Linked DNA regions of Coturnix japonica. The protein of the gene in region 2 purifies or fractionates together with the protein of the main gene of each other region. This does not show direct contact. Links are inferred from orthologs where the notes say so. Each region holds a gene or a part of one and is shown on either strand. Other genes may lie near its edges.

Evidence for each region. Proteins that work in one complex are often made in the same cells at the same time.
Region 1: the proteins of CSNK1D (region 2) and protein FAM83D-B-like purify together in Homo sapiens (affinity purification with mass spectrometry; 4 studies listed by BioGRID and IntAct, counting the BioPlex papers as one, with this or other methods). This does not show direct contact. The link is inferred for Coturnix japonica from reciprocal best matches to the Homo sapiens genes CSNK1D and FAM83D.
Region 3: the proteins of CSNK1D (region 2) and GAPVD1 purify together in Homo sapiens (affinity purification with mass spectrometry; 5 studies listed by BioGRID and IntAct, counting the BioPlex papers as one, with this or other methods). This does not show direct contact. The link is inferred for Coturnix japonica from reciprocal best matches to the Homo sapiens genes CSNK1D and GAPVD1.

What each region holds. Positions count from the first base shown.
Region 1 is NC_029535.1:3,273,479-3,277,224, reverse strand, and holds the start of protein FAM83D-B-like, read right to left. Parts: upstream 2,864-3,746; 5' UTR 2,740-2,863; coding exon 2,299-2,739; intron 373-2,298; coding exon 205-372; intron 1-204.
Region 2 is NC_029533.1:4,228,431-4,232,176, reverse strand, and holds the start of CSNK1D (casein kinase I), read right to left. Parts: upstream 2,604-3,746; 5' UTR 2,348-2,603; coding exon 2,272-2,347; intron 1-2,271. UniProt on the Homo sapiens protein: Essential serine/threonine-protein kinase that regulates diverse cellular growth and survival processes including Wnt signaling, DNA repair and circadian rhythms. It can phosphorylate a large number of proteins.
Region 3 is NC_029532.1:8,084,830-8,088,476, reverse strand, and holds the start of GAPVD1 (GTPase-activating protein and VPS9 domain-containing protein 1), read right to left. Parts: upstream 2,935-3,647; 5' UTR 2,862-2,934; intron 2,823-2,861; exon of another isoform or gene 2,804-2,822; intron 2,777-2,803; exon of another isoform or gene 2,653-2,776; intron 1,681-2,652; exon of another isoform or gene 584-1,680; intron 291-583; 5' UTR 202-290; intron 1-201. UniProt on the Homo sapiens protein: Acts both as a GTPase-activating protein (GAP) and a guanine nucleotide exchange factor (GEF), and participates in various processes such as endocytosis, insulin receptor internalization or LC2A4/GLUT4 trafficking.

The DNA.
Region 1 (3,746 bases), on a different chromosome or scaffold from region 2:
TTCACCCCTTTTGGATGCTTGCAGTACAGTCTCTAACCAAAGTGGGCCTTAACTTTCAGCACCTCCTTATTTCAGTGTCCAAACACCCAGAGTGCTTCAGACTTTTAAGGAAACCTGATGATTTGCACAGAGGTGTCTCTGATGTACAAAACCAAAGCAGAAGGAAAAACAAAACACCTCCACTCCATCACATTTAGTACTTACATTCTCCTTCTCAGGACAGACACCCAAGTTTTTGCACATCTCCAAGAAATAGGGCAGAAAGTCCTGATCAAGAAGGATATAGACAGGGACCAGGCGCTTGCTGTAGGCGTTCTGAAGGTCACTGAAGATATCGATATCTGTGAAGGAATCCATAACAAGGGCAATCACCTGTAAAGAGAAGCAGCAGTTCAAGGGCTTTAATTTACAGAGGACAGAAGTGGCTCACATGGCCTCCTGCACAGCTGAACATCTACAAACATTCCCTGTTTTCTCTTCAGGCCACATGATAGAAAGGCAGCTCTGTCCCTGCACAAATCACCAAGGCAACACAGCCAACTGAATGCATCTCATGAGAGCCTGGGAAGAGCACATTCTGGGTTCCATCCAACACCTTCACAAAAAAGAAACACCCATCCACTCACAAGCAGATGCAGATTCGCCATCGGAGTTCTTTCCAACAAGCAAGTCCAAAGATGGAAAGATTTTCATTCAGTGCAGGCCACAGACAAAGCGTTCTTACATTTCTAAACAGTCTCTCCATTCAGAGCAACACCACACACCATTTCCCAGATTTCCAGCCCTTTAACTTGGGAACACACAGCTGCGTGGGTGCAGACACAAAGGTTTGGCTTCGTGACTTACTGTTGTCCCGCCAGATGAGCAACGAGAGCTATTGCACTTACCTGCCCCTATCTGCTCACCTGGCACACACCCCCTGCTGTACACCAAGGCCCAGGCACACAGCGCTGTGTGTGTGGCACTGCTGGTGCTCAGAGGAAACATTTCCCACAAGAACAGACTCAGCTCTGCATTCCCACCTGAGCCCTGTCCTTAGGGGGTTGGCCCTAAACAGGCAATTCCTTAGTTATAAAACACAGGCAGGCTGCATTTCTAGATATAAGTTAGTTTATGCTTTTGTGCTCCTCACATACAGCCTCTGGTCTTCTCCACTCTGTCACTTCTCCAAGTGCCAGAGCAAGATGGAGAAAATTAGGGCAATACCGATGAGATGAGGTAGGAAAGAAATTAAAACTGAACAGTAAGAACACAAATTTTTTGGGAAATACTGCTGCCTTCAAACAGCAGCATCTGAGTTCTAATAATTAGCAGTATTAGCAGCTAAACAGGATAGAAAAGCTCAAAATAAAAGTAGTTATAGGAGGTAGAGAAAACCCTCTTCTCTGTGCTGGGCTCTTCCAGGTGCAGAGATAAGGCAGCAATTGCACCCACCTCAGCCTAAGCTGGAAGGGATCCTCAAGGATTACAGAGCCCAAGCCCCAGCTTCACACAGCAGCACCCCAACCCAAACCCTATGGCTGAGAGCAATGTCCCAACACTCCCTGAGCTCCAGCAGCTCAGGGCCATGCCCACTGCCCTCTGGGGCAGAGTCTTTCCCTGCTATCTCCACTGTCCCAGCTCCATGCCTTCCCTTCAGGTTCAATCTCTGCTCATCAGAGTTTAGTCCCTCAAAGTGAGAGGGAACTCAGCAGTGCCTGAAGCTTTCCTACTGCCCACATTAACCCTAAGGGTGCAGACACAACCAAACAGCACATCAGTCAATCATTTCCAGGGTGTCTGTTCTTTACCCACAAAAGCACTTCCCAGGCAGTGAGGAGAGCAGCGTGCCTGGCTGCTGCCGTGGTGCAAAGAACACGACAAGGAACAGCTCTATTGAAATACAGCCGTTCTATGGGGCAGTGCGATGATTCACCAGAGCCCCACACAGAACCCTCGGAGCGGCTCTTCCTGCACAACAGCCCCTGAGCCAAACCTGTGTCATGCTCATCGCTCACCTCGGTGCCACATGGCAGCACTGAGCCGGGCTGCCCCGCCCGGCAGGGAGCCGCGCTTTTCAATTTCAGCGGAGCCAATGGGACTGCGGCCGGGATCAGGAGCTGCTGCTGGGCGATGAGCTCAATTAACGACTCCCAGGGAACAGTTACGGCTCAGCGGGGCTTTCAGACCGCGCTCTGCATCGGCCCAAAGCCACGTGCTGCCTCTTTATGGCACAGCTCCATCTCCGTGGCACAATGACACAAACCCGAGCGTTCCTGCCTTCCCCCCCTCGCCGCCGCCGTCCCGTGTGTCACCCACCTGCCGCGCGGATCGGATCTGCCGCCGCACCGCCTCCTTGCAGCCGTACGGGCTGTCCCCGCCGCCCGGCTGGAAGTGCGCCTCCACCCGCGTCAGCCCGCGGAACGCGCCGCTGCCGAAGCCCGGCCAGCCCAGCTCCAGCGCCGGCGGCTCCGCATCCGAGCGCTCGGGGAAGTAGGTGAGCGACGACGCGTCCAGCGACGCCTCGGCCGCCGCCTCCTCGGCCGCGTTGGGCGGCACGGCGCCCCGCGCGATGGCCTGCACCTCGGGCTCCGACAGGAAGGGCGGCAGCCGCTCCCGCCGCAGGAAGGCCCGCAGCGCCTCGGGGCCGCCCGCCACCAGCTCCTCCAGCGCCAGCCGCTGCGCCTCGCTGTACGGCCCGGCCGGCTGCGGCGGCCATTGCCCGGCGCCCTCCTCCAGGCACTGCGACGCGTTGGCCATGGCCACGGCGGGCGGGCAGCGCCAATACAGCGCCGGTACAGCGCCTTTATAGCGCCTCTATAGCGCCTTTGAATCCAAACGGCGCCGCGCAATGCCGCCATTGGCCGCCCGGCCCGGCCCGCCCCGCCTCCCATCTCCACAGCTCACCGCTGAGAAGCCCCACAAGAACCAGCAGCGTTTTCTGTGTTATTAAAAGAAATTTAATATATATATATATATATTCTTTTTTTAAATTAAAAAATTCATTCTCTCTATTAAAGACGCGGGTCAATTGCTAATACTGTCAGACATACCCTTTTGGCATGAGTTTTTACATAAAATTGAAGATTCTATGCGTTGCTTCAATACGTTAAGAAACCACCTCTTCATACTTACAGTAACAACAAAGTCAGTTCCGTACAATATCAAATATCCATTAAAAAAAAAAAAAGTTTTAAATATATTAGACTCTGATTGCCAAAATGCCATTTTTATACACAAAGCTGCTAATACAATATACAGTCCTTAACGTTATTTTTCCTCACATAAGATACACCTGGTGGGGTTGGGCCTGCACACTCTGCAGTGGGTGGATGGGGTGAGGGTTATTGCCCTGTGCGGCTTTTGCACTGCTGTGTAACCCGTATCTCTGTCCTGGTGGAGGTCAGTGTGTTGGTGAGGTCAGAACACGCTCCTTCAGCGTTGGCTCCTCTACCACAGCTGGAATACAGCGCCATGTTCTGGGTCAGACGTTGCCTGAATAGCCCAGTGATACCCAGTGGGGACTGCAGCCTAGTGCCTGTGTGGGCAGGATGAACACAGCCGAAGAACAACCAGTTCTGATGTATGGCCATAAAGAAAACAGAACTCTGGATATTAACAGCACTCTGAGCACGTGTTGGACTCTGCTTAGTTAGAGCTGCTATACTGAAAGAGGTCAAAAAGATTTATTCAATTATCCTGATCCTTTCCATTCTGTGTGTTATAAACAGTGAACATGGGAGAAATGAACACACAAAACCTTCAAC
Region 2 (3,746 bases):
ACTTTAGTTTACAGCACAAAGACCACCTCTAAGAAAAGAGATGTAGTGAAACAGTCATGAAAACACTGTAATGTAATGACTGTAATGCCTTCATGACTCCTGTCTGTTTGACCTTGTGGGTGGAGCCAAACACAGATGCTTACCCTGATTCTTTTCCTGAACACTGCTCATCTTTGCTACTCTATAAGATATCTGGGCATCCATGCTCTTCTTTCTTCTAGATAGGAACCTCATAAGACGGAGGTACACTCAATTCTTCTTTCCTTTAAACTCCCTGTGGTAATTCATTCACCACAGCATCTCAGAGCTCTGTGCTACGGACCCTGTTATGCTACATGAGCCCAGAAGAGCTGTAACACTTCTCTCCCAAGCACAAAACAGATGGAAGCTTACAAACGTATTGAGAGCTATCAGAAAGCGATTGTACTTCAACCTATTAATCCTGAGCTCTGCAAGAATGCAAGAAGTGAACTGTACATGGCTCTGCCTTACTGCACCACCCGAACGACCAAGCAGAGCCTATTTGTTGTTAAACACATTTGGTTTAACCAGAAGCACAGATCCTTTAAGCCTCTGTTTTGCCACACAGCGGCTGGCAAAGCAAACCACCCTCTACAAAAGACCACAATATTTAAGATCTTGACACAGCATTTTCCCTTGGAAACAGATAACTGTGCCATGAGCTGGATCTTTAAGGCAAACCATTCTCTGCTAGCGGATGGCTCAGAAATCACCCTTGTAATGTGATGTAATTATCAATCCATGCTGGTTACTTAAGGATAAGAAGAACAAGATTCGAGGCACGCACAGTGCTCACAGTAAGAGCTAATTGTACATCGACACTGAGAATGTAGGGATAAAAAAGGACAACATCTGAGGATTAGGAATTCTTGCACCAAAAGTTGCAGGAATAAAGAGAGAAATACTGAGACCTGAAAGTCTTTCCTGATGTGGGCTGGATACATAATACATACATACAGATACATACAGATGAAACCATTTCCCAGCCCTCTTCCATACATAAGACAGTAACAACTGACTTGTTTAACTTCTACCCAGCAGTTAATCTGGATTACGAAGCATGCCTTTACTCTACTTGCACTTTAGAACTCTACTGGTCACCATTTAATTTAGAGAAGCCAAATCTTTAGTAGGAATACCTCAAATCACAGCAAGATTGTTCCGATTTTAACTGCTGCCTTAAAGCACTAATGGCTGCTAATGAAGATTTTGTGTGTCACCACGTTCTCTCATAGCACCCTTCATTCTTTTACACACAGAGAGCACAGATCCCATCACAACAACATGGCTGGATTCTTCATCAAGATGATATTATGGATAACCAGCCTTTCACGACCTGTAAGCAAGAAGCTTCAGCTGACACATTATTTCAGAAGACCAACTGTGCATTGCAACACAAAAAGGTACCATTGCCTACAAGAAAAATACATGTATGCCCTGTGTACACCACTAAATACAACATACATGAGCTAGGGATGCCTCCACTCTCTAGACATGTCCATTTAACCTACTTTAATGCCTGCAAGTTCCTCCCCTCCAGTTATGTGTTCTACTTCCCTATGTTACCTCCATTTCCAAACACCAAACGCTTGTTTCTATGTGGCAGCACAAACATCAGTATCTATAAAACCTATTTCTGTACATTGAATCCATTTTGTGCAGTTTGAGAGATTTAAAATACCACGACAACCTTCAATGCAGCCCATTGAACCATCAGCAGTGAGCCATTACAACACAGAGCAGGTAAAGGCACTTCTATCCCACAGTCTTCACACTCGCACAGAAATCACAGCAGTGATTGCGTGCCTTAAGACAAGAGGGCAGCGTTCAAGTCAGGGCAGAGCTGAGCTGTTCTCATTTTTATGGAGGATCTGATGCATTTTTTAACTTGTCATCCCTGAGTTGTGTGATATTTCTTTCAGGCCTTACAGCAGACAGCAACATCCCTGTGACAGCGATTTAACCCAGTGCGCTGCGGTGACATTTAATGCTGATGCTCGTGCTTCTTTCCCCAGATCTTTTCCCCTTTTACAGACAAATATCGACGCCCAAGGTCACCAACCACCAACGTTACGAGGCAGCCGAATCATCCAGGAGTCCAGCGCTGCCTAAATTAGGACACGATGCGAAGGGAACATCGCGCTGTGCCGGCACCGAGGCACGACGCAGCGTTGGCCATTGAGCTCCGTCAGGACGAGGTGAGGCCCCATAGCCCCCCCCGGTGGGTCCGCACTGAGCCCCGCTCCTTACCCAGGTAAATGTCTCCGAAGGATCCGCTCCCGATCTTCCTGCCCAGCCGGTACCTGTTCCCGACCCTCAGCTCCATGGCGGCGCTTCGCTTCGGCCCCGACCCGGTTCCGTCTCCCTTCCCACCCTTCAGGCCGGCGCTCTTCTATCTCACAGCCCCGCCGTTCCTGCCGCCATCGCGGCCCCGGTCCCGCCGCTCGGTGCTGCCGAGGAGAGCGACGCCGCCCTCGGAACTGCAGGGAAGGATGGACGCGGATTCAGCACAACGCCGAGCCCTCAGCGACTCCGGCCCCGAGCGGCCATACTGCGTGACCTCACTTCCTTAGCAACGGGGGCGGGGCGCGCTGCCTGGGGCGTTGCTGGGGAGCCGCCATAGTGTGTGACCTCACTTGGGTGGACTTCCGCTTCCGCCCACCATTTCCGCTCTCATCCGCCCTTCCCATCGCGCTCCGTAGGTCCTCAGATGACAACTGCGCGTGCGCGTCCTGCCCCTGACCTCTCTGCTCCGCCTGTCTCTATGGTCTCCGGTCCTCCAGGCAATAACACGCATGCGTTTAGAACGCGGGTAGTGGCGTCGCTTTGCTTTTACCGCTCTGCGCCGCCAGTCCTCCAAGATCTATGGTCATCGGTCCTCCAGTTTCCCAATGGACGCGGTCTACATTCCTCCAGTCAACAACAAATAACAATAACAATAACAATAACAAGAAAAGCAACTTTCACATGCAAAATTAAAAAATAAAAGAGTTCATCCCCGTGATAACGAGTATAATTTAGACCAAGGAGTTCTAAACAGAAGCAGTATTTCCTAATGCTGTGGGAAAAATTGAGATCACCCCACAGTCATTCCAGCCCTCGTTACTGTTGCTCATCACATTTGCTTTGCAGAGCAATATCTGGGCAAAGAATTGAGGCATTAACAGCAATTGATTGCTATGGGTGAGCAGATATTCTTCCTTAGCATCACTGGGGTTAATTACGCCGTAGATTTTATTTCCACAGACAGTATATACTCGTAATCCCTCCAGGAGGTGATTCATACACATCTATCTCAAGTAATGGCGTTCCACCATCCATCCCGTGGCTTCTGCTGCCATCTAGTATCCTTTAGCATCACCACAGCCCACTCGGCAGCCTCTGACTTCCCCCACCACCTTCCTCACTTGCCCACTTGATAAACTCCCTTCACTGAGGTTTGCTTAGAAGGAGAATGGCTATTAAAAGTAATTTATAGGTACCAACCCTGTCACTTTTGCCTCCTCAGCCATCTGAGCATCTCTTAGTCTCAGGATAGGGATAAGTTCAGCATCCTGTCTTTACTGGGGAAGGAGAGGGGGAATACATTGACACCTGCCTGTTCCATCCCAGCCTACCCACAGAGCAAGGCTACGCAGCCTTGTGTAAAGGCCCTGGCTTCTTTGATGTTTGTTAACCCCACTCATGCCTTTTCCTTCTTGAGTTTCTTTTGCTGAGGGTCTCTT
Region 3 (3,647 bases), on a different chromosome or scaffold from region 2:
ACACAAGAAAGGGATCAGCAGCTTCCTTGGCTTTACAGTACTCCAAAATACTAAACTTGTTGGCAACTACCAATTGCTATCAAAATATACCTCTGTAGATGAGGAACACATCATTCACTCCTATTACCAGCTCTTTAAAAATGAATTATTCTGCAGTCATGCAAGCATAGCAAGTATCAGTGCAAACAAGTGGGTGTTCACCTTCCGTGTCTGGCAGATGTCTGAGAACACTGGAGATGGAAAGCTGGAGCTGTGACGCACATGGACCTTCAGAAGCCTTCAGACTCACTCTAAAGAAAGCATAGAACACAGTCAAAAACAAACCAACCAACCTAGTTAAGCAACATTAACACGTTATCAGTCTCTTTACACAATGGTATTCACATGGCCTATATTTGAAAGGGGAAACTACTCTATCATTAATATACCTATATGATGCACCACTCCCCTCCAAAAAACCCTTCTCTTCATGATCAGTGCAAGCAGACAACAGCTGCATTCTTTAACCTTCCCACGCTGCCCAGCATTCATGCCATGCCAGCGCTCAGGACAAGAGCTTTAAGAAGCAATTAGCCACACTTACGTATTTGGTAATGCACTGCAGCAGGCGGTAACAGAGCAGACAGAACAGCAGCCACCTCAGCTGCTACTAGTTCCTGTTTATCAGTTTCTCACAAATAAGGAAGCCACCCATAATTACCCACTTTATAACAATCATCCGTCAAACTTGAAATAAAAGATGTCTGCATGTAATTGTATGAAGGAGGAAATTCAGAAATCCAACTATCTGATGCATCTGCAGAAACACCAGATATTCAATAACTCCTGCTACCTGCAAACTATTTTTCAATTCTGGTATCTTCATTTTGATAGGAAAACCCTTCATTTCTTCTAAGACTTCTTAATAAGCTACTAAGTGGAAGACTTATCACAGCAACTCAATTTCACCTCACAATGCCCCACAGCAGACTGTGTGAGCTGACAGTATCTAAGATGTTTTGCCCTACTATCAGCATGCCTTAAAGTTTTTCAGAATCCAAGGCAATCTACACCTTCGGTAAACACAGACATCGATTGCTTCTCGAGTTTAAAAGCACTCCCTTTAATCTCTGGGCGCTGAATAGCAGTACATAGAGTGTGTGCTTTTTTACTGCGGCACACAGAAACAAGTGGCACCTCTGTTACACATTTCTGCAGATCAGCTGACAGAAAAGAGAGTAAGCAAAGCAGCACATACTGCCACAGAACACTAAATTCTTCTTCCTCCTCCAACGTTTCCTGCTCAGGGTTATTTGTTCTTCCTGCATCTGGCTAAACAAGACTCAGCTTCCACAGCAAGTTTGGGCAGATCTACTGCAGGCAGGGCAGGGCAAGGCCAAACTGAGATCACTCCAACTTACTAAGAAAGGATTTCTAAGCAAACCTGAATAGCTTCATGCTAATTTACCCCAGATGAAAATATCTTCATTAATATTTATAGTGACAACAAACAAGCCTTCTTTCCATAAGGTAGCAACCTACCTCCCAAAGCTGAGCTAAAAAAACAAGCATTTTTCAGTTCACCATGACTTAGGATTTATCTGCTGAACCCTCACATTACAATACCCACCGCATCAAAACACACACAACGTGCAGAATGCATTCCAATCTGCTGCAACCCAGCTATCTAATCAACATTAACATGAAACTCGTACCTCAAATTTGTTTCTGCTCAGTGGCTGCTGCACAACTAACACTGAACACGAGACCTGTCTGCAATGAGCACTTCATTTCTCGGGTCTCTTATCAAAAGGACATATCGGGAACACATAGGCTCAGCTGCCTACTAAATAGTCAGCTGTGGCATAACTGTGGTCTATGAGAGTCAACAGGGGCACGTAACTCTGCCAAAAGCTGCTCCAGCAGCTCGTGCTGTTAGAAAGAGCTGTTCCCCTTACACAATGAGTCACACTAATTGACTCCCAGGCAGAAGCGCAGAACCTGAAGTTCCGAGCTCGGCAGCCCACCACGCAGAGCTGCCTGCCCTATGGAGCAGCACGCGTTCTCCAGGACCTGATGTACCGTACAGCCAACCCCACACATACAGCACCTGCAATGTCCCAGAGCCCACCACAACACAGCCGCTCTGAGGCCCTTTTCCCGCAGCCCCCAGCGCAGCTGACACCAATTACAGCAGCGTGGTTCCTCAGACCCCCCAGGCGCGGCTCCCACCCGAGGCACAGCCGTGTGCCCGCCCCGCTCCTGGCAGCACAGCCCGCAGCTCCGCACCGCGCCGCCGTGACTTTGCAAGAAGCCGCTCTGCTGACCAAAGTCCTCCGGCGCGAAGCCTCTATCCGTAACGAAAAAAGGAAGTCACGACGCTGCCCGAGTTACGAGTTCTAAACCTCCGTCACACGGACCCCGTAAACCCGGTGCTCACACCGCCCCGCAGCCCGGCACGGCGCCGTCCCGCCGCAGCACGGAGCGCCGAGGGCCGCGGCACGGAGCGCTCCCGATCGGCGACCACCGCCGTGCGGCGCGGCGCTAACATGGCAGCGGGGCTGCGGGCGGAGCGCGGCCCGCTCGGCTCCCACGGCGCCGACTGCGAGCGCGGCCCCCGCCCGGCGCTACGGAGACCAAACCCAGCCCGGGGAGCGCGGACGAGACGGGCACCTCGGCGTGTCGGCGTGTCGGCCTGCTCCTCGCCGCGCTGCCGGCCGCGCGTCCCGCTCGGCTCCCCGTAAAAGCGGAGAGCGGTCGGTCAGGCCCGGCCTTCGCCCTCCTTCCCTTCCCCTCCCCTCCCCTCCGCTCCCTTCCCCCGCACCGCCGGGGGTTGATCCGAGCGCCGGTCCCGGCCGCGCGGGCTGAGCGCTCTCCCCTACCCGGCCCCGGCTCCGCCGCCGCCCGGCTCCGCTGCGGCCCCGAGCCAGGCGCGGCGCGGCACTGCGCAGGCGGCGGGCGGCGACACCGCGCTCCTGGGACTTGTAGTCCCGAGACATGGAGTCCCGACACATGGAGTCCCGCAGCCCCGGCCCGTGTTCTCTCTTGATCCCGCACCGAGGCCGCGGTACGGCGGAGCAGCTCTGATACGTTGCTCTGATGGGGAGCTGCTGTTGCGTGGCGCGGGGGAACGCCGGGCTCGGAGCGGGCACTTGGCGCTGCGCGGCACCGACGGGCGCCGTGCCCCGGGATGCACCGGCCGGACGCTGCCCTTGTCCCGCCGCTGCTTTACGACAAAGGGCCGTCAGGGCTCGGCCGGCCCTGCGGGTGAAACGCAGCGACAAGTAGTAGAGTACAACGGGCAGCGATCTGCCTCGTGTCACAGCGCTGCCTAATCATAAACAGCATCATATGCTGCAGCACCATCGCAGCTGATTACTGCTCCATGGTCACAGGCTGATCTTTAACTTTGCCCTCGTTTTGCAGCTATCCCAGGGTCCTCAGGCAGCACAGAGCTCACTGCCCGCGGGATGGGGCCTGGCACAGCCTCACCATGGGGAGCAGGAGGCTGAGAGTGAACAGCTGCACGTGTGGGTACGGCCCAGAGCCACCCGCACCCAGCGGTGTTTCTCATGACACGTGTAGTTCAAATAGAACACAAAAAATGTCCCAATAGAGCTATTAAGAAACTTGTTCTCTTAGACAAAGGGTGACTGGAGACACTGTTT